Oryzias latipes: one gene and its partners. The protein of the gene in region 3 purifies or fractionates together with the protein of the main gene of each other region. This does not show direct contact. Links are inferred from orthologs where the notes say so. Each region holds a gene or a part of one and is shown on either strand. Other genes may lie near its edges. The genes, in order: mepce, ncbp3, serine/arginine-rich splicing factor 3 and larp1.

Evidence for each region.
Region 1: the proteins of serine/arginine-rich splicing factor 3 (region 3) and mepce purify together in Homo sapiens (affinity purification with mass spectrometry; 3 studies listed by BioGRID and IntAct, with this or other methods). This does not show direct contact. The link is inferred for Oryzias latipes from reciprocal best matches to the Homo sapiens genes SRSF3 and MEPCE.
Region 2: the proteins of serine/arginine-rich splicing factor 3 (region 3) and ncbp3 purify together in Homo sapiens (co-immunoprecipitation; 3 studies listed by BioGRID and IntAct, with this or other methods). This does not show direct contact. The link is inferred for Oryzias latipes from reciprocal best matches to the Homo sapiens genes SRSF3 and NCBP3.
Region 4: the proteins of serine/arginine-rich splicing factor 3 (region 3) and larp1 purify together in Homo sapiens (co-immunoprecipitation; 3 studies listed by BioGRID and IntAct, with this or other methods). This does not show direct contact. The link is inferred for Oryzias latipes from reciprocal best matches to the Homo sapiens genes SRSF3 and LARP1.

The regions. Positions count from the first base shown.
Region 1 is NC_019872.2:14,591,273-14,599,704, forward strand, and holds the start of mepce (7SK snRNA methylphosphate capping enzyme), read right to left. Parts: upstream 4,325-8,432; 5' UTR 3,850-4,324; intron 2,099-3,849; 5' UTR 2,052-2,098; coding exon 282-2,051; intron 1-281. UniProt on the Homo sapiens protein: S-adenosyl-L-methionine-dependent methyltransferase that adds a methylphosphate cap at the 5'-end of 7SK snRNA (7SK RNA), leading to stabilize it.
Region 2 is NC_019872.2:24,113,223-24,120,964, reverse strand, and holds the end of ncbp3 (nuclear cap-binding protein subunit 3), read right to left. Parts: intron 5,721-7,742; coding exon 5,611-5,720; intron 5,212-5,610; coding exon 4,905-5,211; intron 4,538-4,904; coding exon 4,389-4,537; intron 4,320-4,388; coding exon 4,143-4,319; intron 3,684-4,142; coding exon 3,394-3,683; 3' UTR 2,994-3,393; downstream 1-2,993. UniProt on the Homo sapiens protein: Associates with NCBP1/CBP80 to form an alternative cap-binding complex (CBC) which plays a key role in mRNA export. NCBP3 serves as adapter protein linking the capped RNAs (m7GpppG-capped RNA) to NCBP1/CBP80.
Region 3 is NC_019863.2:2,320,018-2,328,307, forward strand, and holds serine/arginine-rich splicing factor 3, read right to left. Parts: upstream 5,363-8,290; 5' UTR 5,343-5,362; coding exon 5,153-5,342; intron 4,486-5,152; coding exon 4,275-4,485; intron 4,141-4,274; coding exon 3,997-4,140; intron 3,525-3,996; exon of another isoform or gene 1,791-3,524; coding exon 1,752-1,790; intron 1,596-1,751; coding exon 1,509-1,595; intron 1,418-1,508; coding exon 1,390-1,417; 3' UTR 850-1,389; downstream 1-849. Other genes in the region: S-adenosylhomocysteine hydrolase-like protein 1, read left to right, coding at 7,776-7,958. UniProt on the Homo sapiens protein: Splicing factor, which binds the consensus motif 5'-C[ACU][AU]C[ACU][AC]C-3' within pre-mRNA and promotes specific exons inclusion during alternative splicing.
Region 4 is NC_019872.2:3,463,835-3,471,576, reverse strand, and holds part of larp1 (la-related protein 1), read right to left. Parts: intron 2,617-7,742; coding exon 2,482-2,616; intron 2,254-2,481; coding exon 2,101-2,253; intron 392-2,100; coding exon 229-391; intron 1-228. UniProt on the Homo sapiens protein: RNA-binding protein that regulates the translation of specific target mRNA species downstream of the mTORC1 complex, in function of growth signals and nutrient availability.

The DNA of each region.
Region 1 (8,432 bases), on a different chromosome or scaffold from region 3:
TGCTGACTTGCTAATTGACTTAGCATGCTCCTGTTAGTTGATTAACACGAACAAAAAAAAAAAAAGCCAAGATTCCAACAGCTATGAAGACAATGGAGGACATTCATACAAACAAAGATCCTCATTATATACACTGACATGTAGACAAGAAGAATGTGCAAATTCTCTTTTGAAGTCTGGAAGCAGAATAATACATTTCTGTGATTTTTTGACATAGCTAAGACATTAGAAACACGTGAAAACTACGAAGATTAAAATGGAATTGCCCAACATCAACGTACCTTGATAAAGGAGACATTGGCAGGAAATTGCCCGGGCTGAGGGGTGGGTGTTTCGGTCAAAGGAGGTGCAGCGATGGGTCCTCTGGAGATCCGTAGAGACACGGGAAAGGAGCAGCTCACTGACTGATCAGCGCTTTGCTTTTCACAGTCTCCTTGTCCTGTCTCTCCTGTTTTGTCATCTTGCCTTGGAGTCCCTACATCATCTGTGTGACAGAAGCCATTGTCACTCTCAGCCTCCGCAGTGCCTCTTTGTCCTCTCTCTGCTTTGCAGTGCTCCTCTCTGCGCTCGGTGTCCCTGTGCTTCTCGTCTGTCCCCGTGCTGACATCCTTGTCATTTCTTTCTTCCTGTTTAGCAGCTTGTCTGGCCTCCTGGGTTTGCAGCTCAGACAGATAATGCCTAATGTTTTTACGAGCTGCATGGATCAACCCACCATCTATATCGAGCCCCAATATGCGTGCAGGCCGCAGCATTTTGGCAATGTAGAGTGTTAAGTGACCTGAATTGCACCCCAAGTCCAGCACATCTTTACCTTCAAACCACTCCGGACGCAATACACGAACACGCGGGTCTTCACTGTTGCCCGGGTTGCGATAACCATAATATTTATTGTAGTTTCCATACTGGAACTTCTTTTGGTGTCCTTTTGCCTGACTGTGAGGTTGCTGGTACGAACGTGACCCCCCTCCAGTTTTGGGACCAATTTTTGGTGTGTGAAAATAATTTTGTGCTCCGCCTGTACCACAACTTTTGTCATTTGGTGCTAATTTACCGCTGGGAGTAGAATGGGTGACAGGAGGATCAATTTTGCCTGAGTTGCGCCTTCGTCTGCGTCTTCCGGCGTGGTGGCTTGGCCCCCCCGACAGGGGGCAGGTATATTCTTCGACAGGTACAAACAGCGTCTCATCTTTGCCGCTTGCTGCGTTCTCAGCTGTGCTCTCGTGGGAATCTGCCGTGACACTAGAGAAACTCATGGACTCTTTAGAAGAATCGAGAACCGAACAAGAGCCTTGCGTACCTAAAAGTTGTGTGGAGGAGCTCATTTTGACCTCACTTTTTGTCGATTCGGAGTGGTTCGCCTGCGTTATTGGAATCCCACTACCAACTCCGCCTCCTCCACCACCCCCACCATGATGTCTGTTGCGATGCCTTCTTCTTCCTCCGCTCTTGTAGGGGGACACCAAAAAGCAGTTGTCTGCTATCCCGCTGTTCAGGTTCAGAGGATCAGTTATATCTCTCGGAATGAGGATCTCCACTGGATCTCGACTCTTTGCAGGAAGTGGAGAGGATTTTGGTGTCTCTGCGTTAAGTGCCCTGTTGACCTCCTCATCCAGGAGGCTGTTCAGATTAAGCGGGTCAAAAATGTTGCCACCCAAGAGAAAGTTGGTGGGCAGGACAGAGTCACTCTCGGAGATGGCTCTTCGTCTCCTCTTGCTCGATGTGGGATGTTTGAAGTTAGAACTGGCTGTGTAGCGCCGCTTGGTTAATTTCGTTTGCTGTTGCTGTTGTTTGGAGTGAGGGAAGCTGTTCCTGCGATTGATGCTGTTCTCGCTCCCTCTGGCTTTTTGTCCCGCGCTGTCTGTGCTCGTGTGCTTTGGTGAGGCTGCAGTGCCCGGGACAGGACAGGCAGCTGCAAAGTCATGCGTGGCTGCATTTTCCTCCATCATCACGGACACACTGCTGTAACCTCCAGTACAGTCTGAGAGCTGCAGAGATGGCGTTGACCTGGCCTCTAAACTGCCAGTTTTTATGGCGTCCTCCTCGACAGACATCTCTGTTAGTTTCCAGAACTGTTCATTGAAACTTGTTTGTCCTTTGTCTGAAAACAAGGAAGAATACAGCTGTTAAAGGACCATCTGATCTCTTATAATCCCTTGAATAAAACACCGTAAACATTAAATTAAGTTCCAAAAAAGTGCCAAAACAACCGATAGGTAGATTTTTGTTTAATTGCATTACAAAGAATGCAAAAAAAAAAGACAATGATAATTGATGTTTTTGCCAACAAAAACTTTAAATACCTAATCTGATGAAAGTTTTTGTGGCGTTTTTCTAACAATGGAGGACAAGTATAAAGACAATATAGCTAAAAATTTTGTTTCTGAGTGTTCCTTTATTCCAGTTGTTCCAAATCAGGGGCAGATGAAAAATGCCATTGGAAAAAGCTTGAAGCTGTGATGTGAAACCTACAACGACAAGCAACAAATTTATTCATCCTAGATAATGATATAGGTTGTTTTTTTTTGGACTAAAAACGACAAAATTTTAATTAAAAGACCACTGAGAACACTTTTTAAAATAGACTTTAAATAAGTAAAATCATAATTTGGGATGTCATCTGCAACATGCTTTGGTCAAAAATGCTAGTACAGACAAAACATCTTTCTTTTTTAACCACACTGTTCCTGCTTGGTTCATGGTAGCATATAGAGGGAGGTTCCACCCGTCTCTGCTGCTCTACCTTATCAGAGATACATAAGGTTTATAGCATTTGTGCCACCTGATTAGAAGGCACAAATATTCCTCATGCACTTCCTAACAAAACTACATTCAAACTTAAACTAACAGAGAAGGGACAGAAGGTCATCATATTCTCCAAAACCAAAAATACACCTTTAAGATGTGACGTTGCTATTGTTGTTGCTATTGTTTTTGTGCCTGTGTAGAAGAAACATGTTTGTTCTTCCACTATTCCTACTGTTTAGAGCCTAAAAGAAAGGTTAATGCTTTTGTTGTTGTTTTCAATTGAAGAGTTAACTTTTAAAAAAAAAAAAAAAAAAGATGACAATCCTATATTTGTATATCTACAACTTCCTGGATAAACATTTCTGCAACTTCATAATTCATTATCAGCTTTACATTAAAAAAATAGATTTGGATGTTACCAAAACTAAAGTTTGAAGTTCTCAGAAAGTGGTTTTATAAAACTGTAGGATATTGTCATGATGATGTCATTTGCAAAAAAATCCAAACAAAATATTTGGATTTTCAGTGTTTTCGGTTTTAGCCTTATTTTAAAATCATGCAAACTGCATTATCTATGATTGATAAAAAAAAAAAGAATTGATTTGAGATTCATCGACATTGTTTTAAGGAAACTTCAATCTGTTCTTTATGGTTGCATGCATTAAAAGTCATCTGGGGAGTCAGTGTGCAGATTCTGGCCTCCATAATTAAGTCAGGAAAGTAATAAGATGGACAAAACGAACAGCAAATAAAATCATAAAGGAGAATCCGGGCATATTGAATATATAAAACATATAATTTTCTTAATAGTAAATAAATTACTTTGTTTTTAGCTGAGTGTTGCATTTTATTATATTAATTTTAAAGGTCCTACGGTCCGCGGCAGATTTTTCGTTAGCATTGCCCTCCTGACAGGCTGACATCTGAAGCGTGTCCACTCGGAGGTTGCTGACCTGAGAAGTTTCTGAGTCAGAGTCTGGAACAGTAGTTTGGGTTAGCATGCTAGCCCTTAGCTCCTCCATCGTGGGCCAGAGCTCTGAAAACGTCGCCTAAACGTTTAGCTCTGGAGCAACAGTGGTGATAAATAAACGACCAAGTACCCACCTTCATGCGCTGACGGGTGAATCCAGAACAAAAATAAACAAACAAATCCCAAGTCCGGTACGGGAAAGTGATACTATGTCCCAGATGGCCGCCGAACAGTGTGGTCACCGTCAGGATCCCAGTGTCACCCCGCGGTGGTGCTCTCCCCGCCTCCGGCCGGGCCGTCTCCACCCCGCTCTGCTTCCACTCAAGCTAACGTTAGCCTAGCTAGCACCCCAGTGTCTCCGAGCCCAACGGCGCTCACGGTTTACACGCAAAGCACGGCCTGTACCCCACTAGGTCTCTCTTGTTTCCCCCACTGCCTTGTCGACTTGTTCGGTCAACTCCAGGCGGACAGTTTGGTGAATAAATGACAGCATTCGCTGACGAGAGTCGGCATGGCGGCGCATCCGGGCTTCGAGTTGTAAGCTTAACGTGACCGGGGCGGAGATCTGTGAGCTCGCGCAAGGTAGTGGGAACTCTTTGCCATTAGATTCAGACCCCTAATCCCAGAAGAGGCCGCGAGCGAGTGGAACTTTTAATGACAGTCAGCAAACACATTTTAATGAACAAACTTGGCCATTGTTTTGGTCTAAAAACGGGACTATAAAGGCACAGATGCCCAACAACACAAAGTAGGTCCACATTGAGCAATTCTGCGGCCCTGACCACCCTCCCACCACCTCATCCTTCATCCATCATTTTAACAGTAATCTCTCATCTTCAGTATATTAGTAGCACTTTTTAAAGCATAAAATAAATCTTATTGTCAAGAGAAAAAAATTATAGCAATACCATTAATTATCTTCTGTCTGTCTGTCTGTCCGTCCTTTAAGTGAAATAATGTGATAAAGTGCTTAAAAGTTTGGAAAAAGCAAAATTTCTAATAGTAATAGATTTAATTTCAGATCTGTAATTGAACGAGAGTATAAAATAATACTGACTGTCAAACACCTCAACAGTGTGTGTTTAGATTTGTTTAATCTTTTGCAGCAGCAGTCAAATGAATAACCTTTGCTTAATTCTAAGTCATGGAACAGATCCACAAGTGGCCTCCTCAGTAACCTGCTCACAACTTTACTTTGGATTTTCTTGAAAGGAAGATTCTTAGCAGAATTTCAGATTGATGTAACCTTTTACATTAATGCATGATCGCTGCTTATAAGAAATTGGCCAAACAGTTGTGAGATGCTGTCTGATACAAAGCTGTGAAAGTACAATAGTTTCCTGTAATATTTGTAACTATCTAACTTGGGAAAATAAAGTGAATTTAGGAGTTATGAACTTTCTCATCATTTTATATTACATTTGTTTTCTTTTTGTAAAGGGCTATTTCTTGATTTATAACAGCTTTCTTTTACGGCAGCAAATTTCAACACTTTCAAGCAAATTCATTACAGTTAGCAGCCTGAAATGCTTAGTTTGAAGCCAAAAGACATTTTAACACATTTTTAAAAAGTGTCTCAAATTTGACATTTAGCTGATGTAACAGCTATTTCTAAATTAAATGACCACAATTAATTTTTCATTTTACCACGCATGAAGTGATATTCATGCTAACACAAGCACAACTTTCTAAGTAGCAAATGAAAACATTAAATATTTGCTTTGAATAACTTGTTTTTTTTTCTTCCAAACCCTTTTTTTTGCATTTGCTACACAAAGCTCTCCCTGTATTTTGATTGAAAATCATCACTCTCAACTGTTTATAGATCAAGCCATGTGATTTTCTGTCTTACAGCCTTTATTACGTTGAGGGTAAAATCAAAATAGTTATTTTTTTAAAAACAAATTGGCAAAATATATGGAAGGTACAGTAACAGGTAAATGAAAGAAAAAAAATCAATGACTACAATAAACTATTCTTTCTTGCAGTAGCATGTTTTTTTGTACTCTACATGTTATGTATTTTTATTGTTGTAGGTCAAATGAAAGTGTACAACTACAGTTGTACACATAAGCTTTAGGGTTGTTTTCTTCTACATACTTCATATTTCCAACACAATTATGAAGTATTTCTGGTATTTAAGTCTATTTGGGTGTTAGTGTGAGATATGACTGCCATCATGGACACCTTGATGTTGCTTCAGTGACCTTTTACATCTGTTTTCTGAATGGCCACAAGGGGGCGATCAAATCTTTTTTTTTTACCATTTTTCTAAACAGTTTTATCCTGCGTTTAACACTGGATGTTCTTTCAGAATTTAATTTTTACGCGTTTTTTAAGGCTATATTAGTTTTCCCTTTCATCGTTGTAAGTAAACAGACTCGATTTTGATTTGTAAAATAAAATATCACTTAACTTTGGATGTATATGTTGAGTTACTGTAATTGTGACAGGCACCAGCACAATGTTTGCATGCCCTCCAGAGGGAAAACTGCTTATGTGCATGTGGTCAATCGAACATTTCAAGTTCATAAGTAAATTCTTATCCAGAGTAAAATCCTCCAGTAATATTCAATAAATGCTTGAATGCAGCTGTAACATCAGTGTTATCTCTCTGTACTGTAGGCCTGGTTCTGATGGCTATCACAAAACCCCACAAAACTCCACAAAAACAGAAATTCAAATCATTGCATCAATTCTTAAAACAATAATACAATAATAACGACTATCAGTGACTTATACATGTAATATTAATAATGCAGAAAGTTTGATATATTTTTCCCCTAACCCTTAACATTATGCTAATATAAAACTTTTTGGAAGACAATATAATAAAAATAAATAACAAAGTAACATTTGGAAAAAGGGAAAAAAATGTTTCAACGGGTGTTTTATTATCTCTGGTAGTCTGAGTGTGGAGCATGCTCCTAATTGCTTTTCAAATCAGTGCAACAGACTCTCCGGTTTAATGAGTCACCCCTCCTTTGTAGTCTCTATGGAAGAAAACTAAAACGAGAGGGTACCTGTCCCCCTCCTTTTCTGTCACCCTCTTTTCTCATGGTAATGTGGGTGCGGTCTTCAATCCCGGACACCATCTGCCCTTCCTCAGGGTCTGCGCCTCAAGCGCTCTGGACATATTCAATTGTTTGTGTGTGTCCAAGCAGAAAGTGGTGAACACATATGGTTCTTGAGGCCCTCTGTGAAGAGCACGAGCCGGCTGGTCATTATCCTGCGTGTGACAGAGGGAGGGGCCGGCTCGCGTGTCCCGTGTGCGGTCACATCAGAACAACCCCCATGTCTACTCTGTGAGTTCACACTCTGTGCCACTGTGAGTGACCGTTGGCTGCTGGTCAGCAAAGTGGTGATTGTGTCATCTTTCACGTGGGATCAAAAGCGGGAGTGATTGCCTTTTAAATGACCTGCCTGATTTGAACTTACGAATGATTCCTATGAGTTTAGGTAGACAAATGTGAACAGTGTGGGATGCTTTTCTAATATTGATATTATAAACATACATTTGAATAAACACCTAAAAAAATGCTGCAAAGGAGAATGAAGGCGACAAAAACATTGAAACTGTCAAACTAAGTATTCTGCAAGTGCAGTTAGATATTAAAGTAACTACTTCATTCCTAACAAAGAAAACACATTTAGTAATCTTCTTGAAGTCTTTAGCTGTTAAAATAGGAGTAAACTGTTAATGGTAACACAATTGTGGAAAAAAAATGAAAGGAAGTATGTCAGATTTGTGATATCACCCCTGCAACCACTGCAAAACTAGTTTTCTACCTCATTTGAACTGACGAGGTGGTCCACCAGTTAACGTGCACCACACTGACACACAGATTATGACTTTCCATCAGAGCTGCCCCCCTCGTTTAAAAAGCTGCATTCTCTTGGCTGCACCGAGATTAGTTATTGAACTGTCCAAGCAAAGGGGGAACAAGGCCGCTTCAGAGCCACGCCACACAATGAGCCAGCTGTCAGGGGGAGGGGCTCGATCAGGCCTGTGTTGTCATGGACAGCATTTTGCGTTGCCCTTTGGGAGCTGATCGGTGCCCCCACGCCCAGGTCTGGTTAATTGTTAGATGGATCGGACGCGAAGAGTGCGTGACGGCTTATACACTAGAGGTAGCCCAAAAAATAGGAAAAGAACACCAATCTTAAGAGAAAAACATCTCCAAAAGGTAGCAAATCTAGCAATTTATACTTAAGAAGAAATCTGATAAGATATCAAAATCTAAAAGCAAGATGTTTTACACAAGCTTTCAAAAGAGGAAAATCCTGTCCGATAGAATTACTTAAAACTGAATGTTATACAGCCCAATAATACGTTTTTTTAACCAGTTTTAAGAAAATGATTTGTATTATTTTGCGTTTTATGCACCTAAATGTAGTTCATTCTGATTATAGTGATAGTATTATAGTGCAATGAGTAGAAACTAGTCATTTTAGAAGAAAATGTGAAAAAACTGGTACAAGTTGGCCTAAATTAATAAAACCTCATAAAACATTATAAAATTTAAAACATTCTCAAAACAGTACCAAAAATGACAGTGCAATTATTTTCAAGTCTTAAATCAAGTTTTTCTATTGTCAAGAGTAAGGAGCAAAAGGATTTGGACCCATATAAAAGTGTTGTAACAATAATGCTCAAAGTTATACATTAACTTGCTTCTTTTTTTTCAGGAATAACAAATAACTTTCTTGGAATTTC
Region 2 (7,742 bases), on a different chromosome or scaffold from region 3:
GCGTTTTATTCCTGCTGCAGAGGATGCTAGCCAGAGACAATAAAGCCTGGTTTTGCCCATGGCATTGACCCGTTTATCTAACTATCCAACTAAATCACCGTCCCTGACAGCACCAAGGCTGGTGGCAGTAAACAGTTGAGATGCGCAGTCCTTTTCCAAATGACCCAAGCAGCAACTTCAGTGTTTAATAATTGCAAACTTTAAAAGTTAGCAGCCAACCAACCCTTAAAATTGTCCAAGCACAGAAGTCAGGCTTTGTGTGTTTAAATCTAGGCATCGATAACATTATGTTATCTTCTTTTTTTACTTAAATGCAGAGTAATCACATGGAAAGAAGAGTGATCCCAAAACAGAGGTAATTCCACACAATGTCAATTTTGAAGTGGGAAATAATTGTTTGGATTTACCTCTATTGAACTGAAAGTTATGGTTTGTTCTTGTGGGCTTTATTCTTACGATGGGGGACACATATAAAGAAAATTAAGATTAAAATTGTATTTCTGAGTATTTTTTTATTCGAATTGTTGTGAATCAGGAAGAGACAAATAAATGACTTTTGAAAAGAAGCTTATCTGTGATGTAAAAATATACTCAGCGGGCCACAAGCTCCCTGCTCTGCTCCATTCTGATGCATCCACTGTCAGACAAATAGATCCGTGACAGTCTTTGTTTTCCTCATCCGAGCTGGAATCTGGATCTAAACTGTACGGCTAAATAACTCCAATATCAAGCGCCATTTTTGTTGCACCGGTAAGGCTAGGTTGGGGTTGCGATGACCTGTAAGCTAGGGGGAGAGCATGTAAACAGATCAGTGCTCCCCGCCAACTGTCCCGCCCACAACTCAGAGGTGTATTTCTAATGAACTCCTGCTGCTCTGCAGAAACTACTGTATGTCCTAGAAAAAAACCCAGGTCTGTGACTATGGATTAAAGTGGTAAAATCAGAAATAAAAGACAACTGGGAACACTTTTACAAGAGAAGTACCACAGTGGCAACAGCAGGGCAGTGGGCTAAAACTCTTATGAAAAGAAAGGGGCTGCAGAGGATGGTTTTGAGCCTCTTTAAGGGGTTACGGTTTCAGCTTTTCAGCAGCATGAAGCCTGTCTGCAGGAAATACCGCCTCCAGCTTTGCTGCTATAGACGCAGCAAAGACAGAGAGAGCAATCCAGCACTGAGAATCTGACACTTTGAACGGAGCGATGGGACCTGCACCAGCTGCAGCATGGGCCTCTCGTGGGGCTGAACACTCGTGTGCCGTGTGTGGAGTTCTAAGCAAACTCACCTCATTCAAAAAATCCTGCCAATGTGGTGAGAGCATCTTTGGTTGGATCACCAGTTGGTGAACAAGTTCATCATTTCATCAAACCATTTTGTTAATAGTTATATGTGGCACAAGACTTTTGACTTCCACTAACTAACTAACTAACTGGTTTAGGATCAGCCTTTAAGTCGGAGCCCAGGTCAAAAGCTCAGGACCTCTGGGGCCCTCTGCACCAACACACGGTCCTCAGACAGACATGTGCTGCAGTCTAGTCTGTCTGGGCAGGATATCCAAGTTAATACATGTTATTTACTAGTCCTCCACCAACGACAAATACGTGTCATCGTTGCATGTCAAAGACTGTTCTAAAATATCTGATGGAACACAGATAGAGGTCTGAAGCTTGGGAGCACCACCATCTAATATTCCTTTCCATGAAGCTAACACCGTTGCATCGTTTGTCTGCACCATCCCATCAGCCAAGATGTTGGACACCTTCGACCTTTGCTTGGCGGAGGCCTTGAACCAGATTGTTTGATAGGTGGCTGGGCACCATATGATGTTTCAGTGGATCACATCTGCTCAAGTCTCAGTCAGAAGCACAAAAACATGCAAAGCTTCCTTCTTAGATCTATTTTTTTTCCCGTCAGAGGCAGAGCAGCGGCCGGGGGCCAAAAGGTGGTGGTTGGAGTCACCCATGTGCGGGGCCTTGCTACGACTTCACGCCACTGTGTGCAACCACAAGTCAAGCTCTGTCGGGACCGTTGGGCTCAAGTTATCATCAAAGTCCAGAGCCGACAGACATGAGCCCAACATACAGGAAATGGTCACAGAGACCATCATTTACTGTGTGAAGGTGGTTGGTTTCACCTCAAGCTGCTGCTACTGCTGTCAGCTTCTTCTTCCCTTCCCGTTCTCTGTTAACTCAGCAGACCCTCAGTGACCGACTCAACCCGCATGGCTGAAGTCTTGTGTTCATTATCATTCACAGCTGGGCTTTTTTTTTGCTTCCTTCTGACTCATATTCTCTGAGTGTTTGCCTCACAGACGTGATGCAGCTAAAAGAACCACCTGTGGAGCCTTTTCTTTCACACAAGGCTGTTTTTGGTTTTCCAAGCATGAAGTTTTGAAGGACCGATTTGCACGCACGGCGGCAATTACTCCAACTTTTGAGTTGAGCTTCTGCCTGTCATCTTGGTGTGTCGTTTGAGGAGAACAGACTTGGGGAGCTGAAGTTTACATCAGTGCTGAGGAATAAAATGCAGCTACTTTGATGTGTTACAGTAAAATAAAATCAAACATACCAGAAGCTTTGAATGACTTCAATAAACCTCTTAAAAAATAACATTTACAACACAAAGGTGGGCTTCATAGAGACAATAGGCAGCATTTAGGCTTTTCCTGGTGCTCAGCCAGCAGATGTCTCCCTACTCGCTGTTTGTGGCAGCTATTACTTCAGTCAGTCTGAAGTTCTCCGAGTGCCGGTGTGGTTTTTCTTTCATCGACAGAGTGAGTCTGACCATCCAGGCCTGAATCAGGTGTTCTTGTGAGTACTTTTCATAGAAATACTGTACACTTCACTGGTCTATTTAGTAGCAAGTATTTCAATGATCTAAAGAAACTTCTGCACTGTAAGAGAATCAAAGCGGAGCGCGGCCTGAGAGCGTAAGGTGGAGTTGCCATCTGGGCTGAAACCTGGCAGGTTTTCCGTGCAGAGAAGAAACATCAGGAATAAAAAACATCAGCCATCTTTTTAATGAGGATTCATGAAGCTTGGAGTCTGTGGACCCACAACATTTCAGAAAAAAACAACCAACTCAGCACCAGGAGATCCAGTTCACACTTTTCTTCCGACACAGGAGGATCCTCTGCTTCAGGAAGAGAGCTGGAGGCGGAGTCTGTCTCCGTGGTAACAGGAATGCATGGCGATGATGTAGAGCAGGTGCAGGGTTAGAGTTTCCCGTCATGCTTTGCTCCATCAGACAACACCTTTGAGAAGTTCAGGAAACTGAAAAACATTTTCAAGGAGAGAGAATCCAGACGCGATGACAGAACCAGCAGGTCCGGTCCGCCGCCTGGGCCCGGCTGGAGCTCTGAAGTTCAGGAGAGTCTGGCCGAGTTCCTAGTCGTCCTCAGGCGTCAGAGTCGTCGCTGCTGTCACGGCTGATCTCGATCTGCAGCGACGGCAGGCTGTCCAGGCGGCTCTTCTTTCCCTTGTGGCCGAGGCGCTCCTGCTTCTGTTTGATCATGGCGCCCCACATCTTCTGCAGCATCGAGTCGTCCTCCTCCTCCTCCTTCTCCTCACCCTCTGCTTTCTTGCCTGCTCTCCCGCTGCCTTCTTTCCGACCTGAAGAGGAGGAGGACGGAGCCGAGTGGTCGCTCCCTCGCCGCTCAATGTTGCCGAGTCTGCTCCAGAGGTCGCCTGAGGAGGAAACGGCATTAAGAACGTGAGAACCTCCGTTCTGGATTGGAGAGTTCGGCAAGTCAGATCGGGACTGCTGTTGTGTTCCCTCCCAACATGGCGGTACACCTTTTGCCGTCTCTCTGATATTTTCAGTGCAATTTTGCCGTCTTTTTACATTTTTTTTACAGCGTACTGTTTTTTGTCATCTGATTGGCTGCAGACCACTGTCAATCAATCTCATCAGTGCCATGTCTCCTGTACAGAATGCGTTACAGAAATCTTTGTTTTCATTCTATAATACTTCATTTCTATGAAGGTTTGAACTTTGAGAGTTTAAAAAAGAGAGAAACAAAGTGTGAGAATGTTTAAGTCTGTCTGAGAAAAGTGTGTAGTGAGGAGATTTACTGCTTTGATCATCTGACATTCCACTTCAAGGATTTTCGGTTATTTTTAGACGGTAACTCGGTAACACTGTACCCGTCTTTCTGTCTTTGGAGCTGGAGAAGACGCCTCTGTCTTGACCGGCCACGCCAAGTCTGCTGTGCACATCTCTGACTGGCTCTTTGCTTGGGGGCGTGTCTCTGGGGGAGGCAGGGGAAGGGGTGCGGCGTCTGTCCGGAGAGTATCGCCTTTTCCCGAGCCGCTGCCGGACATCTGCGGGAGAGACGTAGAGTCAGAGGGGACGGAGTCCACACCCCGGCAGAAGCGGCGGCTGCCCCTCACCGGTCTTCCCGCCGCTGGCCACAGGGGGGGGCTGTCTGTGATGGGACAGCCCCTGCCGCTTCTCCAGCAGCAGCTGCCGGACGTCCGTTAACTTGGAGGGGGATGAGGATTTGGCTCTGCTCTGGGTCCCCGATGTCCCGATGCGGTTCCTGACAGAGGAAAACGTCAAAATAAAAGCTTTTCTGAACCCATCCTGACCCGGGCTTGATGCAGACGAGTCGGCAGTTTCTGAACACTCCCCCAACAATATAATTTAGAAACTCTGTAGGAAGTACCCTACAAGCTGAACCACAATGATGAAAACATTAACATTTATTCGATTAAGATTCCAATGAATTAAAATTTCTTAAATGTTAGTTTCTGAAAACCAATAATGATCCATGTCTCACTTCCTGACCCTCAAAAAAGATTTATGGAGTTTAAAGACAAAAGTTTACCATCTGAAGACTTGCTTTACACAATAAAAGCCCGTCCAACTGTGTCACATGACTACAGATGACGGTGGGCGGGGCTCACCGGATGCTCTTTAGGTGGCTCTCCACCTCGTCGGCGTACATGGTCATTTTTTTGCTTTTCTTTGGCGACGGCGTGGAGATCATCTTCAGCTCCAGGTCGTAGTCCATCTCATCCGACTCTGACCACGGAGACGGAGATCGCTCCGCACTGCTGCGAAGCCCCGCCCCTCCAGAACGTGAGCTGCCTCCTTTGTCCTTAAACTCCACCACCCTGTCATCAGAGTCCATGTCCTCGTCACTGGCGTCCTCCTCCTCTTCCTCCTCCTCCTCCTCTTTGATGGGCTCCTCAGGCAGGTTGACCAGGTCAGCTGAGAGGAGAGAGAGTACAGATTTTTAGCCCCGCCTTTATTTGGTTTGAGCCTTTATACCAACTTTATTTCAACTACCATAACCCTTTGACCTTTAACACCATAAAGGTGAAACAGGAGATTCTGAAGCTTCCTGGAATTAGGTTCATTGTGTAGACGATCAAAGAGTTATGGGATATGATGGAGCATGCGTTATTTAGGATTCACCGGTGACATTTCCTGTGTTAAAAGGTTAATTCAGTTATGAGAAAATTCTGCTTCTTTGTTGAAGGAAAGCCCTTTCAGATTGACTGAAAACTGAATGAATTTTAGATTAAAACCTGAAAACTGGAAACTCTAAAGACTATGCGTCAGTGAATGCAGCCTCATGGAGTTGGGCCGGATCCCCGGCGTTCTCACCGGAGTGCCGGTGCGTGTACGGCGGCGTGTGTCCCATGTTGTCTCCAATCAGAGGCTTCTTGCTTTTGATGACGTCTCTTTGGATGCGTCGGTTGTGGTACCTCCTCTTCCTGAATGGACAAAAATCAGAGTTTGGACGTCATGAAGCTCCACCGTCAGCAGGAAACGATACTCAAAGTCCCCTTCAATGAAAATCATGTTTTTTTTGTGTGTTTGACATGTCCTTGTGGCATTTTTCTTATGACAAATGTAATCATTTCATTTATGCATTTCAGAGTATTTCTCCTTTTAAACTGCTGTCAATCAAACTGTAACAAAGACGATCGGTTTGAATTAATGAGCTGCTGTGATGTCACAAGCTCCGTCCAGGGCGCACAAGGTCAAGTGAGAGACGAGGGAAGAAGGCACTTTGCTGCTTTGCCCGCCGCACGCATTTCAAGTGTGTCCAAGGCTGGATTTTGTTGTTGGTTTAATCTCTCTAGGACCGAGTTTGAAGGCTTGCTGTCCCGCATTAACCAGAGAGGGTAAAAATAAAAACAAGAAGAAAAATCAGGGGACCTTTTTTATTTTTGCCTCGCTGAAAATAAGAGAAATATGATAAAGTTCTGGAGGCCCAAGCCAGTTGGCTCCCCATCCCACAGCGGGTCTCTGTCTGCCGAGCGAGTCGCGTTCGGTGTGAACGCAGCTCAACCGTAACCCTAAACGTAACCCTTCCTTTGTGTTCGTGCAGCCAAGAAAAACGTTCAGCACGTGTTTGGAAAATTCCGTGCGAATATTCCCTTTCTTTCTGGCATTTTCCATGTATTTGCTCTGCAAGTCAACAATCTGCAAGAATCAAATCAGTTGGGAGCCACGGCCTTCCTTAAAGTTCTTTTTGGTGTGTCATTTTACTAAACAGCAGGGTCTGGTGCACACATTTGTTTTGTCATTTCACACATTGTTTGAAAAGTGTTGATTTCCATTCAGAAATGTCACTTTTCACTGTTTCTTTATCACCAAACAGAAACTTTGGAGAATAGAGACTGTCAGTCAACGTCCTGATACGTGGCTGAGTCTTTCAGCATGACAACCATCCCAAACACACGTTGCCCGGGTAACGAAGGAGTGACTTCGTAAGAACCAATTCAAGGTCCTGGAGTGGCCTAGCCAGTCTCCAGATCTCAACCCCACAGAAAATCTTTGGAGGGAGTTGAAAGTCTGTTTAGCCCAGCGACAGCACCAAGACATCACTGCTCTAGAGGAGATCTGCATGGAGGAATGGACCAAAATACTTACAGAAAGCATTTGGCTGCCGTCATTGCAAACAAAGGTAAAATGTAGTATTGAGTTGAACTTTTTTACGCTATCGACCAAATACTTATTTTCCACCATAATTCACAAAACAATTCTTTAAAAATCAGACAATGTGATTTTCAAGATTTGTTTTTTACATTTCATCTTTCATAGTTGAGGTAAAATTATGATGCAAAATTAAAGACCTCTCTCATATCTTTAAGTGTCACAATTAGCATCTGACTAAATTCTTTTTTATCCCACTATACAAGTCACACTTTTGGGAGAAATGTATTCAAAGAAATATAGGAACTAGAACGGACATTTCATCTTGAAAGGCAAATTCTAATAAAGGAATAAACAACAATAGACTGAATATATACCATACACACTTCACTACCGTAAAACAGTTTGAGCCAAACCTTCAGCCACTCTTTTCCCAAACTCAGGAATTCTCTCCCTCCTGCCCTCCGTAACATCGACTCATCTGTTTAAATCTGCCTTTTCTCTTTGGCATTGTGCTGGTAGCTATTGTGCACTTATTTTTTACATTAGCGCAACAGATGAACAATTTTTCAGATGACCATTGCATAAAGAACATAGTCACAAGTCAGCTAAGCTCTATACATCGCTTCAAATCACTAAATCCATTGAATCCTTCTTCCTCTGTGTCACTTTAGAAGCCCTTTTCCAAGCCTGGCATGCAGCTCTGTTCAAGTCACCACTTCCAATGAGAAGTCTATGGAAACGCACGATTCCAGCTTCTGCCTTCCAAACTCCTGTGTTCACGCGTAGCTACACACATTTTTACAACTGTTTCCGGGCTTTACCTACAAAACGATTGAACACGTGTTTAGAGT
Region 3 (8,290 bases):
CATGAAGGTCCACGCGGGATGAAGTGCCATTAAAGGTGGAATTGTTGATGGCATCAGAGCAGGGCAGCTCCTTAAGGTGGAGCTGCTGTGCTGACATTAGCCATCATGTCGTCTGCGGCTGCGCGGGGGCCGAGACTGTAGCCACGGGGATCAGGTTACATAACAGACTGTGGAAATTGATCACGTCTGGGTGGGACTCCCGCGAGCTGCTTCACTGATGAGACTCTGGTTTCCACTGCCACCGTGAGTCACGGCTGCCCTGCTGTCACGTGACCAGCAGGAGTGAAGGCACTGAAAGGCGCGGGAAACTTTGAGAACTCTGCGTCCCGCGCGCTGCCAGCTCACGTGGACCGTAGCGCGAACCGGTTCCTGCGTGTAATTTTAAGGTGGGAAAGCTTCTGCCTGAGAAAACGACCCCAAACTAATGCAAGTGAAACTAAAACCGTATCTGAAACAGCTCATCACTGTGGCTCATTTGTCATTTTTTAGTTACATAACAGCTTCACACAGGTAGACCAGCATGGAAGCAGGTTTTACTCAGGAAAAAAATACATTTTAAAACGTTTACATGCCCTTCTAGGTAGTCAGGCAATAAAATGTATTACAAATGTTTTTATGTTAAAGTTTTGGACTTTTACAAGACCAAACAGTGAGTTTTCTTTTACTCAATCTGGTATTTTATCAATACACCCCACCTAAATGGTTAATACTTGCAAATAAATGTAAAATAATAGTCTAATTGAATAAAAATGTATGCAATGTATAGCTGGCCACATTTTTGAGTCAGTGGAATTCAGCCGTATGGGAGCCCTGTTGTGGGGAAAAAAAGAGAGTGATCACAAAAACAGGTCATTTTTTAAATCAGTTTTTAATTGAGACCAGTTTACACAGTATTAAACAAAAGAATAACAATGTAAAACTTGAAAAGCAAAAATCAGACTTCCGTTTCAGTTTCTTTAAATCGGTTCCACAGTTTTTCCTTGCTGAACTGAGGGGCAACAAGACCACCGCTAAACATGTGAATGAAAGGACTACATTGAAAATAGATCGGCGTTGTGAGCGGAGCACTTCACATCTCTGGAGGTGCGTGTCAATCAAAAACAGAAGTTGGCGTTCGTACAGTGGAAACAAAGAAGAATGTGGGAGGGAGGGCGTCGTACATTCATGGACAGGAGAACAAAGACGGCAGGGATGGGTCAGAACAAACAAGCACCGTTGAGACGCTCAATGCACTCAAAACAACCCCATCTGTAAAAAGAAACATAATCTAAAATACTCGATTGCTATAAAAAAAAAAGAAAAACAAAAAGACTAAATGTCAAAGCTGAAGTCCATTGAACGAAAAGCTGGAGCCGGTCCAAACAGCTCCCTTAAAACCGGCGGTTTCTTCTATTTCCTGTCGTTTGACCTGGAGCGGCTGTGAACAGGAAGAACCACCAATGAGTTAAATCAAAGCATGTTTATCCTCAACACTTCAGGCTGAGATCAATCGAGGATGGCAGCAGTACCTCCTGGATCGAGAGAAGGACCGAGAGGGTTTGTGGTTCCTGTCCCTGGAGAGGGATCTTTCTCTCCTCCTGTCTTTGGAGAAAGACCTGAAAAAGGAGAAACCATCATGACGGTTTGCTTTTCTGTGACACAATCAAGAGCAAAGTGCACACGAGTTCGCCTGAAATTATTGTAGAATCACTGATGTCAGAGATAGAGAAATTCATGAGTGAGATAAAAGAATCGAGAGAATGCAGACATACCTGCTCCGGCTGCGGCTGAAGCTTCGCCTACGGGGAGATCTGCACAAGGAAAAGACAGCTGGTGAGCACAAAGACATTTGGTTCTTCAACGAAGCTCCACATCATATGACTTCTACCATAGACTACCTCAAACAGCCCTTTGTTGTCGCCAACAAAAACCAGAGATGAAAGCCTTTATTTCCAGGAGGGAAAAAAAAAATCCCCAAAGAAAATAGAGTCACTGACCATAAAGCCAAGCCCTCAGAGAAAGCAGAAGATCAGGAATCTCTGCTAACCTAGCCCACCACACTACTCAGGTCACATGACTACTCTAGTCAGAAAAAATGAATAGGGGTTAGTGTGTCCTAAGATGAAGCCCAACCCTGCATTCACACCAAACGCGATTCACGCCTCAAATTCGCAGCTGGATGCCCGTCCAGAATTGTGTTGATAAATTTGACGCCTCCGCCACGTATGGGGGAGGAGCTACTGTCCAAATTCTTTAGCCCGACGGCTACTGGGAAGCATTGACATTTCTTTTCCAATGCACAGAAGACACGGTTGACGTCAAAATTTACATGGAAAAGCTCCACAAAAGCATCGGTAATCACGTCTCATGACATCACTCAACCTCACTTGATACGGCGAGCTCGGCCGTCCACCGCAGGAGCTTCGTCTGAATGACTTGTCGTCCGAGGGGGAAAAATGAAAATAAAATTAGAGGAACTTATTATTGTGTGGGAACAAATAAAGACACAGCTCAGACGGAAAACTATCAGATTCTCCATTTCGGTTTTGGACACAGCCCTCAGATCACGTCATCACAGGCCTGAGGCAAGTCCCTGGGTGGTTAACGAATTCAACGCCAACGTTTAGACATTTGAAGTCTGGATGCACCGCCCGAGGCGCCGCTGCCGAACCTCAGATCGTGTCAGCACAAAACTGGACGCCTTCGACGTGTGAATCCCATTCGGTGTGAAGATAGCTTAAAAAATTACTGAAACAGGCTGCAAATTTTTCTTGTGCTAAAAAAAAAAGAAACAAATGTTGTAAACTGCTCTGTGTTTGACTAATCAACCCCCCCACTGACCCGTTTACCTGAAGCTAGCCTTTTTCCAGCTAACAGAGTTGTGACTGCTGTGACCTACGATGTGCCCAGATCCCCTAACATCAGCACCATCAAGCTCCTCTGACAGCAGGCTCCATCTATCTGATCACTCCCATTGAAACAAAGACTCACATGGTGGATGACAAAGCTAGAGTTTAAACAATAAAAGTCTCTTCAAACCAGCTGTCTCTTCACTTTCAAAACTGAAATCAGCAGTGTACTGAATGAAGCAGGGAAACTTACTAGTTTTTTTGGATTTCAACAAGCTAGATATGACGAAAGGAAGGCAGACTGCCGGCCGCGTAGGTAGAATTGGCGGAATAGGAGTGGACAGATGCTGCAAGGTGATTAGATGGCAGGCAGATGGGGGCTGGTTGTGGCTTTTTTCCTGCTTTAATTGGTAAGCTGACGGCTGCTGCTGGTGGGTTGTAGACATTTGGGAACATTTTACGCTGATTGGTCGGGAATGTGAAGTGGGTGGCTGCCCTTTGGTTTAAGGCTGAAGGAGCAGGAGGTTGAGAACGGCATGCTGAGGAACCAATGGGCTGGTGCAACCTGACGACTGGCCAAGCCTGGGTCATGTGACAGCACCAGCCAAGCTGATTGGGACACGACGGTCAGCAGTCGCGTGATGCTGAAAGAGGACTAGTTGACTGAGGGTGGTGAGAAGAGGCATGGTGGTGGTTCTGCAATGGGTTTCATTCTTATTAATATAGATGAAAAGTAAAAAAAAAATATAAAGACATTTGGCAGTTTTACCCCTCACACCGCCCGCCCCAAACTTTATACAAATTTACTTCTTTTTCCAAACTAAAAACTTTATTTATGACCTCTTGTCACTGTCAAACTCCTAAACAAAGATTTGGGTGTGCACACGAAACACACACAAAAGGACTCTGGCTGTTAAAAGCCAAAGTCCCATTCTACACAATGTACTTTTGACAAATATTTGAATATTTTGTGTGTTTTCCTTGTTGCACAAAGTAAGCGCAGACAGGTCAACAGTCACCAAAAAAGAAAGAAAGAAAAGATAAATTAACAACACAACAACCCAGACTGGAAACCCAAAAGCAGTTCTCAGGAAATGTACTGTAAAGTAAATCACATAAGAGGATATAAAGCTAAGAAATCCCTTCCATCAAAGAACCCCTGGGTTACCTTCTCCTGGGTGGCGGGCTGCTACGCCGCCTGTAGTCGTCCCGTTCCCGCGGCCGCCTGCTCCACGATGGAGGAGCGCCGCGACTGCGGCTGCGCTTCTCCCCGTTAGACAGCTCCACGCGCACCCGGCAGCCGCACAGTGTCCTGCGACAACATTCACGCCTGTCATTCATTTCATACCAAACGCTGATTTCTGTGGAATTGCTGGTGGCCAGACAAACCCGTTTGGGAGGATTTTGCGGGCCGTACCTACAAAAATCACACAGGGAGGGACGTACCTTCCATCCAGTTCTCGCACCGCATCCGTTGCATCTCTGGGATCTTCAAACTCTACGAAGGCGAAACCTGGGGGGTTCCTGGCCACCCAGACGCTACGAAGAGGTCCGTAGTAGCCAAAGGCGCGCTCCAACTCGGTTTTGTTCCCATTGTTGCCCAAATTTCCAACGTAGACCTTACAGTCCAGGGGACAGTCACGGTGCATGATGGAATCTGGAATAATCAAAACCACGGGGTTATAAACACAAGGATCAGCTAAAAATATAAGAAGATGATAGATTACATTTCTGGTTTCAAATCAAGCAATTCTACTGTAGTCGACTGATCGGTTTCGTGGATGAACCAGGACAGACCAAACTAACAGTACGGCCGGAGATCCGCCTCTGCTCTGCCACCGATGATAATGATGCTCCAAATACCTGTTTTTCAATGAGCCACAATAAACAAACGAAGATTTCGATAAATATAGTTACAAATGTTCTTACTTTGGTGGGCTGGGTCTAAATACGCATCGAGTTTCCACTACACGCGATCATCATTTAGAAAACTGATCCACATTTCTACCAAAGTTAGCATAAAATGCTAACTTTAGCCACACGATCGTGTAAAGTTAGCCATAACCGGTAGCTTTAAGCTCACACTTAGCAACTCTATTTCAGTTTTGTAGTTTGACTTTTTTTTTAAACACACAGACTTCACTAACGGAGAAAACGGGTGAATAAAAGCAGCTAAAATGGCTGTCGATACTCCGCGGCCTTCTCCTCCTGCGGCGGCGGCGGGTTCAACACACGACGTGATCAGACAATGGCGCACGCGGCTGCTTCCTTTAGCGCTAAAGCACGTGTCTACGGCGCTGAAGGTCCGTGAATGTCTGCACTACCTGTACCGGAGCCGAAGGAATTCACCGCTGAGAAGAACTCTTTTTCACGTGCACCCGTCTCGCCGATGCACTGCCTCCAGCCGACGGTGGAAAATGGCGTGACGGAGAATACGTTCGACTGTAAAAAGTGACCAGGATGCTGCACCGCGAGGGGCGGGGCTTCTCTGTGCGCGCTCGCGAGCGTCGACATCAAAAGCCAGTTCGGTGTTCCCCGGGACAACGCCGAGAAGATCACTTCAGCACATTTTAAACCGGTTTAGCCACAGCAGAGGCCTGTTTCACAGCAGCCAATTTACGCTGACTGTTCATTTCCGGGTTTGTTGGTTGTATCAAATTCTCCAAAAGATACATGGAGAAAAAATATTTGCAGCTGTTTTCATTTATACAAATAATTACAAATTGTTGATTTTTTTTAAAAATTTCCTTTTATACTTAAATAGTGGTTATACACAAGTCAAGTTTATTTGTAGAGAACATTTAAAAAAAAGACAATACAAAGGGCTTTACATAAAACATTAAAGGAAACATAAAAAGGTATTAAAGGAGTGATCAATAAGTAAAAAAAGATTAATAGAGCTGAATGTAAAGTAATGTGGATGTAAACTTTTGCATAAAACTAATCAAATGCAGCTGAGAACAGGTGGCAGTTAAAGACCAACAGCGATGAGAATTGTGTTGTTAGTGTTTTTAAATGTTCTTGTGGCATTTTTCTCATGTTGGAGGACATTTATGAAGAAAATTAGGCCTAAAACTGCATTTCTAAGTATTTCTTCATTCAAATCGTTGTGAACCAGGAGCAGATGAAAAAATGTCGCAATTCAGTACTTTAGTCTATAAATGGATCTTAAAGAAGTAAAAAAGAAAAAAAACAGTTTTTGAAGTTTTAGTCATAAACAACAACAAAAGCATGAATGTCAACAATAAGGAAAGAAAAAAAGAAAGGAATGCACAATGTACGGAACATCACAAAAGCAAAACAAAAAAATAACAATGAGCTGCAGAGTTTATTAAAAAAATTACCTTTTGAAATATTACATTTGTTGAAATTTCTTTTTTCTTTTTTATTTGTTTGATACTTTCACTATATTTAATTATTTCATTCAAAAAGTGTTCAAAATCAAGTTTAGAGTTTGACCATTTCCTTTTATATATATGAAATTTCTCAAAAACAAAATAAATTGTGTTATAAAAATAAAGTTCTGCTTCATGTTGTCATAACAGCCCAAAATGGTTTGTTTTTCTGAAAATGTGATTGTTTTTCCAGTTTTATGACTAATGTCATTTCCAACGTGACTCCAAATCTGTCCAATGTTCTTTTAAAGACTATAAATAATGTGGTATTCTGCTGGTTCCTGGTGTCGTCCTGCTGTGGCTCAACATCTGTGGCTCCAACCAGTCCCCTTCACCGATGCACAGATGGTCCAGGATGGTGCTGCAGGCAATGATTTTCCCGCGAAGGTTGGTTTTACTTCCAACGCCCCCAGAAATACTGCTCTCCACCTCGTCTTCATCTCCACCACAGAGCGTGCCTTGGAGTGGTGCTGGTTGTAACGGGCCTCAACCGCATTTCTCAGGGGTTCCCTGTAGGGTGTCTGCAGCGTGATGGGATGAGCAATGCAGGGACACCCACCATCACCTAAAAGGATGTATCCTTCAGGTGACTATGTTTGATTTGTGTAAACTGGGCTGCTACGCTGAAACCCCTTAATCATGGCCTGATACTGGATATCCAACAAAAATATGTAAAAATTTGGCATTAGAATAAAATGTTAATATTTATTGGGTTTTTACTTTGGAAAATTGGTTTCGTCCTAGTCGGTGTTAAAGTAGAAGTAGTTCGCCTCCAGACCAGGTGGTGGCGGTAATGCGCTATTCTGTTTTCTTGTCAAGCGCCATATGAACAACACCCGAAAGAGAAAAGTAGTGAGCACGGGTGTCCGAATTGCTTTTAAAATCATGGGAACTATAGAGTGCCGCAGTATATAGGGTTTTAGTAGTTAGAGATTAGGGTGGGAATTCGGACACAGCACTAGTCTCTCCAGCGTGTCCTGGGTTTTCCCCTGGGCCTCTGCTCAGAAATTGCCAAATTTTGAAATTAATTCACATGAAGAATTAGTATCTCAGAGAATTGAAAAACTGTCAAAATGATTTTTTCTTACAGCATCTGGGTATGAAATGAATTACTTTCTTGAATTGAGCATCTTGGTAATTCTAAATAAAATACGTAGTTGGAGATTTTTTTTCTTTAGTTGGAGTTTTCGATTCCATCTGGCCTTGAACGCAGCAGTGACGTAGCCGCCAAGCAGACAGCTGGTTCCCGCCCACAAAGTTTCTCAGCCTAATGACAGCTACGACAGCGGGGGAACAACACGACTGGAGCCTCAGCGGAAAAACGGAGCACAGAACTGCTTTCCTCAGCCACAAACCACGGTCTGGCGAGCCAAATGCCCATCTGACAGCTGCTTTTTGCTGCATTTTGTCCGCGCATGATGATCTAAACAGGCTGCCGTCAGTTGCTGCGTTCGAGCGGGCGGCTAGCAGCAGTGAGTCGCGCGTGAACTTGTGACGTTTCCTGACTTACAGGTTTATTTCGGTGTCCAGGTGAGGTCACGCAGCCGCGAACATGTCCGAGCCGGCCGTGGAGGCGAAGGTGGAGGTCAAGCAGGCGAGCAAAGAGGTGAAGGAGAGTGAAAACGCCGCGGAGAAGTACTCTGCCATGACGGTGAGCAAAAACAGCGAGATGAACATGGGAGAGCTGGCTTCGTCAGTCTTCAGCGCGGTGCCCACTCACAAACCGGTCAAAAAGGTAGGACGCTGAACCAAAGTCCCCCTGAAAACCAACCTGCAGCGACTTCCCACTGACTCTCTGCCCAGCTGGCATCTATACATGTTGTGTATGCACGCTTTATGTGGTTGTTTTTGTGCTTTAATGCATCTTAGTAAAAAGCAAACAAAAAACTTTTTTATATTAGTCAGAAACATGTTTATTACAGATGAAATGTTTGTCATTACTTGGGTGAAATAAAAGCGTGTAGTTCTGCTGAAGCTTCAGATTTCTGCATTATATTCTGTGTTTGCAAAATACAATATATTGACAGGGATGGGCGTGTGTGTGTGTGTGTGTGTGTGTGTGTGTGT
Region 4 (7,742 bases), on a different chromosome or scaffold from region 3:
TATTTGTGGAAACAGAAACCACATTGTTCAAGGTTTAAATATAGACAAGAAGCAGGTTCACTTTGAGCTTCTGCTTCAGGACAAAACCTGCTTCACAGCTCAGATCAGAGTCAAAATTCTCTGCTCATGATTCATCAGAGAAGAGACATGAAGAGCTCATCACTTCTGCAGCTCCTCCTCCTCCTCCTCCTCGTCCGTATACGCCTCTTCCCAGCGAGCTGGACTCACATCTGTCTCTTGATGTAGTCCTTCAGCAGGTCCTGGTCCACAGAGTACAGCTCAGCGCTGCTCATGTTGTCGTAGTAGTACGTGACGGAGTTGCCAAACTTCTGGCTGTAGGAGCCGTCCTTCCCGTCGTAGGACTTGTAGGTGCAGTGGTAGTCGTAGTGACCTTCCAGAACGGAGAACCACGTTAACAGGAAAAAATGTTAGTTTCTCTGCACATCAGATGTTCTCGAATCCAGATTATAAATGTAAAAAGGGCATCAGGTTTAGGGTTTTAACTCTTTTTTATGACACAAAAATAAAATATACAATAAACATTTAGATAGGGACAATTTTTGTCTTTTAAAAGCTGAATTCTGACGTTTTTTATGTGAACATAAAATATTTCGTTTTAAAGAATTGATCCTAGAGTTTCTTTTGATATATCAAATATGTTGTGCTGCCATTTTATTTTCTTAATTTTAATGATTCATTACTATTATTATATGTTTTTGGTGTATATTAGGCGTAGTGATGGGATGTGTATCGCCTTTCTGTTTGGAGTTTTTTTTTTTTTTCCTTTTGTTCTAGGTTTCAATGGGGGGAGGAAAAAAAAGTGTAATCATTGTTATCACGTGTTTAATATTGCTGCTCTAAAATCCAATAAAAACAATTTTGAAAAAAAAAAAAAAAAAAGAATTGATCCTCTGGTTTATCAACAACAAAAACAAGCAATAAAACATTAAAAAGCAGAAAAAAACCACATTTATAGGAAATATCCTAATGGAAATTAAATGTATTTAGTAGCAAATAAACAATTGAAACTGAACAGAATAAAAACAAAATGTTTTTGTTTTAAAAATCTGGGTGTAAAAACTGTTCAGCTGTAGTTTTAGAACTTTAAAGGCCATAAAGAGAAAAAGGTTCTAACTTAACAGTCAAATCTGACAGTTTGGCAACAAAGTTGATCAGCCTGAAGCTAAAATACGAAGCGTTTTTCTATTGAAAATCAGAAATAAACACGTCTAAAAGGGAAAATCGTTGCTGCTGAGTATTTTTGTCGTCACCTGTTCAGCCGGCTTTCACTTCCATGTCAACAAAAAATAATCCAAACAAAGAACCACAGAGTCTGGACAAAAGTGAGACGCTCCTGTGGAAACAGGCCGCTTAAGGAAGAAGCGCAAAAAAGTGAGGAGAACAAAAAAGTTTCTTTTTTTTTTTTTAAAGAACGTGAAAAGAAGCAGCTTTGGAATGAAGGTTTTTCCTGCTCAGCTGTTCTGGACGAAAAACAACCATGAGTCATTTTTAGCAGCCAGTCATACTTTCTGTTTCTCTTCTGGGCTTCCAGATGTCACAGAACTATAAATAAACTACAGAGAATGGCTGTTTTACCAGAAGCTTTAAGCCTGACTTTAGGTCCAGACTAAATGTCAGAGCGGTGAGCCGCAGATCAGAGCTGTGCGGGTTTTTCTCCACAAGATGTTCAATCAGAGAAGAGACATGGAAGCTCATCATTTCTGCATCAAGCCTCCAGGTCAGGAAGCTCCAGGAGCCGCTTGGTGCATCCATCCAACCACCACCAACTTTCCCAAAGGAGCATCAGGAGCATCTCCATCTGAACTAATCATGTTTGGGGTTTAACCCCTTCAGGGCATGTTGCCATTTAAAACATTGAAAGCATTTGAACAGACGTGGACGCCTCGCTCACTGACTGACTGACTTTGGCTTTACAGGTCAGACTGACTGCAGAACCTGCGAGTCAAAGAGCAGGGCAAAGCCCCGTAAACACATGTAAGTGTTAGTCACGTCGCTTGTGTCAGCTGTTGGAGAGGAGAGGCTGGCGCCGCAGCGTCATGTTTGAGTCTGATCAGCAGAGAGGATGAGGAAAAGGATTACCTCTGCCTCCTCCTCTTCCTCGGCCCCGGCCTCTTCCCCGTCCGCGTCCACGACCTCTGAACCCACCCCGGAACGGCGCCCCCTCGCTCTTCACGCTGGACACCTCATCGTGGTCGTCGTGCCACTCCCGTTCGTGCTTCTGACTGTGCCAGTCTGCGTAAAAGAGAGCAACCGTCCTTCAGTGAAAGCATCGGCCACAGCGAACCCTTCAAATTAAAAGCTTGAAACAATCCATCCAGCATTTTACTGACTGATAGTTTAAACAAGCGGACAAAGCCGGCGGCCGCTTCAACACACCCACAACCACACACTTCCTCCTTCACACTTCCATGTGGACGCACAAAAGCACAGAGGGCGACGCGTAGGGCGGGCGGGGCTGACCTCTGAGGTCGTTGCGAGCGTTGGGAGGTAGGCGGGGGTTCTCGTTCTGCCTGCTGTTGTTCCTGGAGGCGGAGCGTTCTCTGGGACCCTCGGACTTCACCTCGATCATCAGAGGAACCCACTTCTGCTTGTTTGCTGTTTGACAGAGATGAGAGGCGACGCTCAACAAAACAACATTTCACAAAGAACACATGAAAAAGAAATCATCCAAAAACACAGCAAAACCTTTTCCTGGAGATTCAAATCAATTTAAAAATACCTGAGGTGAATTTTACAAGTATTCCAATATTTAGTTAGTATAATATTACCTTTTGAAAATGGAATTTTTTGTCAAACGTTTAGACTAATCTTTTATAACAAAGAGCTCAGTAAAATGTTTAATGCTTTCTATGTAAAACACGGTTCAGGTTTCTGTGCGTTTGACACAATGTCATTTAAATATGATGAAACAGCCAAACAATACAGTATACTCACTAAGATATATTTAAGAATTACAAATATGAAATGTTTATGAATAAATACAGTCCATTTAATTGAATAAACCTCAGAAATTAGCTTTAGCTGCGGTTTAGGCAGAAACGTCTTAAAACTCTTATTTAGCATCCGAATACTTGAATATTGGAAATGTTCTAGAAAATGTGGAAATGAATATTTGTGACGTCCCAGATCGCTGATTAGCAAAGTTGATAAAGTAAAAATACACTTTAGGTAATGTAATTATTGCTCTAAAATTGCAGAATAATATTGGATTTTTAGTATGTTAACTAAGCTAAAAGTATGTGCTACTGTCACAGGAAGTAAATAATTCAAAGTAAAGCATGGGTGAAGGTCCTTATTTTCAAAGTAAGACTATCAAGTGTTATTAGAAATTAAAAAGTGAGACAAGTTCTGAAAAAAGGATTTTTAAATACAGTCGACAATTTCAATAAAAAATAGAATGAAAATTGAATGAATGTGAGAAAAAAAGCAAACTACACAGATTTCATGATCAATGAGTGATGTGGAATCATGAAACTGCAGTCAGGCGTCAGCTAAGGTTCATAAAACATGACTGTTAGAAAAAAATGAGGTGAAAGGTGTTTTCTAGTTAGTCAGTAAAACTTTGAGGATACCTGGAACATTTTTAGGATTTGTTTGAAAAAGATTTTTTGTTTAATGTTTAAGTTAACCAAAAAAAGAGTGTTACACTCCTTAAAGTGATAAATACCATTTATTTTTCCTGTTGTTTTTTGTTGATTCTGATCTTCTGGTCAAAAAAAAGGTAAAAATGACGGTGATTTAATATTTGAGTTTTAAAAAGACATGCACATAGCAACCATTCAAACAAAACATATTGTAAAGTAAGAATTGTAGTTTGATCTGGGAATCGTCTTGAGTCATGAATGGAATCGCTACCTAAATAAATGAATTTATCCCGATTGAAAACAAAAATGTTCTGCAGGTCCATGACCGGCCAGCAGGTGGCGTCCTGAACCAGCTTTCTGAAGTCAGTGACAGAGCACGTGCCTCTGAATGATGAGTCATTCCAAGCATAATGAGTTTATGTGGCAAGCATTCAAACAGTCAGAGCCGTTTGATTGCCCTGAATGAAAAGGAGGCCGACTCAGGTTCCTGAGCAGAAAGTGAAAATCAGAAAAGTGCAAATGCAAATAAAAACAAGGCCGCTTCATGTTGCTATTCTGCGGTGGCATCTACAAACCACTCAATGCAGAAACATGTTTAAAGAACACAGAGACAGTTTAAAAAGCCAGACACATTTAAAAAACATAGCTTTACCTTTTTAGAAAACAAAATCGTATAAAATAACTGAAGAAACATTTCGGAAAACCAAAAAGAAATGTGGAAAAACAAAAAACACAATGAGAACCTGGAAAGGTAGGTACTATGAGCAGTGATGAAAGTCAGGCAAGGAAAAAATCCCTGAACTTTTCTTTGAGCGATATGGCGGGCACAGAGCGAAATTTTGGAAAAATACGTGGTCTTAGATGCATTCTGGTGCATTCTGGCGGCTAGTTATTCACTTCTTTATCAAGAAACTAAGACTAATTGGAGCATCATGATTTGTCATTCAAACCCCTAGTTTGACTCTCCATTAAGGACTTGCTGGTCCCAAAAAAGAATTTGGAAAATTGCTCAAAGTAACACAATCCTACAATCTACGCTTTTCCTTAAAGCTGCAAAACATACAATTGCTAAAATATAGTAACATCAAAGCCCCAAATGGCAAAAAGAACACCAGTAACTATTATATTCTATGAAAATACCTCAGTTATTTATACATTATTTCTGCTTTAGAAATGACTGATGTACAACATCCACTTGCACTGTTTTCTCAAAGTATAACTACATCAAAATATGGGATCTGCTTTAAACTATAATTCTATAACATAATACATCAATTCTTTAACACCAATACTAAGTAATCTGGGAAATATCAAAACAAACATAAAAACTAAACTAAACATTGTAAACATTATTTTTTAAGGGAGTGTGGGTCCAAACCATCAAATACTTATAATTAATGTCAACTATACTGAACTAAATCATTTTTATTAGGAAATACAAATAAATTAGATAGAGAAATGTATTCAAAATAAAAACTGAAACTCAAAACTAAAATTGAAATTATTTCAAAATGTGGTTTTGAGATTATTTTACACAAAAAAGTATTTGACCTACACTAACTTAAAAATCTTTTTTTTCCAGCCAAGACCACTTCAATTTGTTTTTTATCGTCTTCTCACAACTGAGGTCGTGACCACGCTCAATAATGACGATGCCTGCCATTATTTTAACACAAATTTGATCGCAAACTCTTCAGGTGTGTTTGTGAAAATTTAGCGTGGGTCCGCCAGTTTTGGTCTCTAGGGAAGCAAGTCACGCTGACCACGTGGTGCAGACAGAGCCAATCAGACCCGTCGACGCATCCAAAAGCAACTAAAACGTCCCGTCATTGGTCAATTAGGCCGGGAAGATGAGAGATGGCCACGACCATAGAGGAAGCGATCTGCGGAGAAATATAGAAAATAAAGCTAAAATTAGCTGATTTCAGACCATTTTTTGATCCGGAAAGCGATTTGTCCGTAGAGATCAGGTCTTTATTTCCCGGAAAGTACGTTCGGTTTGCTCAAAAACCCGGATTTCCGGGAATTCCCGGAAGACTTTCATCACTGTATGAGACATGGCTGATTGGATGATGATACCAGTATCAGTTAATGCCATTTAACTTTCAATTTAAATGATGGACAAACGTCACCATCCAATCAGTGATGTCCCATCGTCTCTACCCTCTCCAGTTTCTTATGCTGTTTCATTTTTAACATTTCATTTGGATTTCTGGAAATTACTTTTGCTTTTTTTTTTCACGTTTTGGTGTCTGGAACTTAGCTTTGTCTTTTTAAATGTATTGTTGTTTTTTAAAAATTTGTTTTGCCGTTCTGATCTTTGAAATGTTTTTCGCACTTCTGGGCCACCATAGTATTCTGTTGGAGATGAAAAGCCAGTCTGCTCATTCAGATCCGCAATCAGGGATCAATCACCACCTTCTACCAGCTCATCTGTTTGAGGAAGAGGAGCGTGAACCTGAGTTCACGCTCCTCTTATGGAGTTCATGTAAATATTTCGAGCAATAATGACATTGAACTTCCAAGGACGCAAAGTCCATGTTTTTTCTCTAATAACACGAACACCAAATATGTCAAAACTTTCAGAACGTTTGTCTCCAACTGAGGAAAAGTCTGAGCCGCTGCGCCGTCTTCCTCAGAAACGGGTCTGAGCGCCGACAACAGAATGGAGAACCGATTCCCTCTGCTGAATCCATGAATCCTTCACAGTTCATTTTTCCAACCATTAAAGCTTTTAGTGTCTCAGTTGAGCTGGAGCTTCTCTCAGACTGTCCCATCAGGACAATCCCTGCCATTTCATACAGCAAGCACCACAACACTCACATGAAGTCCCATCTACTCCAAACTGTAGTGTGGGACCATCTAGTGCCCTGGATTTTAACCAGCCATTTTGACACCTTCTTCACTTCTTTTTTTTTTTTTTTTTTTTAAAGCAAACTTTGACGTCACCGATTTCCTGAAGCAAAAACCTAAAAAATGTGAACACTTTACTAAAACTATCATGTTCTGATGATGAAAACTAAATGATACTTTTTTTTTCTTCACAAAAATTGTTCAAACGCAATGCATTGTGGTCTATATTCACCAATTTGGTGAGTATTGATGATCAATGGCTTTTTGCAGAGACTTCTGGGAAATTTCTAGGGTATTGTTTATTGGAATTGTAAGTTTGAACAAAATGGTGAACGCACTATAAAGTAGTGAAGGAATCAAGACACAACCAGCAAGAGTCTATGAACTTTACATTTTGAATGTTTCGAATTAAACTTTTCTGCGTAGGTTCAGCATCAAGAGATGAGACTCATGAGGAGGAACCGAAGTGTTTGCATTTCTGACTGTTTTGTGTGTTTACCATTAGCAATTGGTTTTTACTAGGGGTGTAGGAAAAATCGATTTGGCGATATATCGCGATATTTCATTTGGCGATACTTATATCGGATTTAAAATGGTGTTAAGAAACTGTTTATTTTAATTTATGAGGCTTCCTTCAGTGTCTGACTTGTCACCCGACACCGAGTCTCTCTGAGCAGCTCTACGCCGCACCACAGCAACTAGATCTCAACCAGAACCAGCTTGTGTTAAACATTCAGTCAGCCTTTGTTGTCATGAGACATGTACTACCTACAGAACCGTATCGGTTAAGGCACTTTTTCTTACACTGAAAAATATTTTGTCGTGTCAATCGGACAGTGTTGAATGTTGCCTTTAAGGAGAAATATATCTTCTTAATTTACCAAAATAAAAGCACTGTGAATTGGCTTTGGTAAAAGAAACTCGTAAAGGAGAAACAGTTGCAGTGCTTAATGTTTTGATCATTACATAAAATGAATTTGACCACGTTATGACAATGACAGGCCTGTTAATATTCAGGTAGTCATACTTTTTTTTAAAAAAATATTTAGAAACTGTTCCGGTACAGTCTATGGATGTATCGCGATACACATCACATCCCTAGACTCTTACCAAAAAAACAGGACAAGCTTAGATTCAGGTCAAGATTAAATGAAACTTGCTGATTAATCATTCAAATTTTAGTTTTTGTTAATAAACTGGTTACAAAACCGTATTGTTATACAGCTAGTGACTTCAACTGAAGGTGGAACACTGACTAATAAAATGATAAATTCTTACATTAAA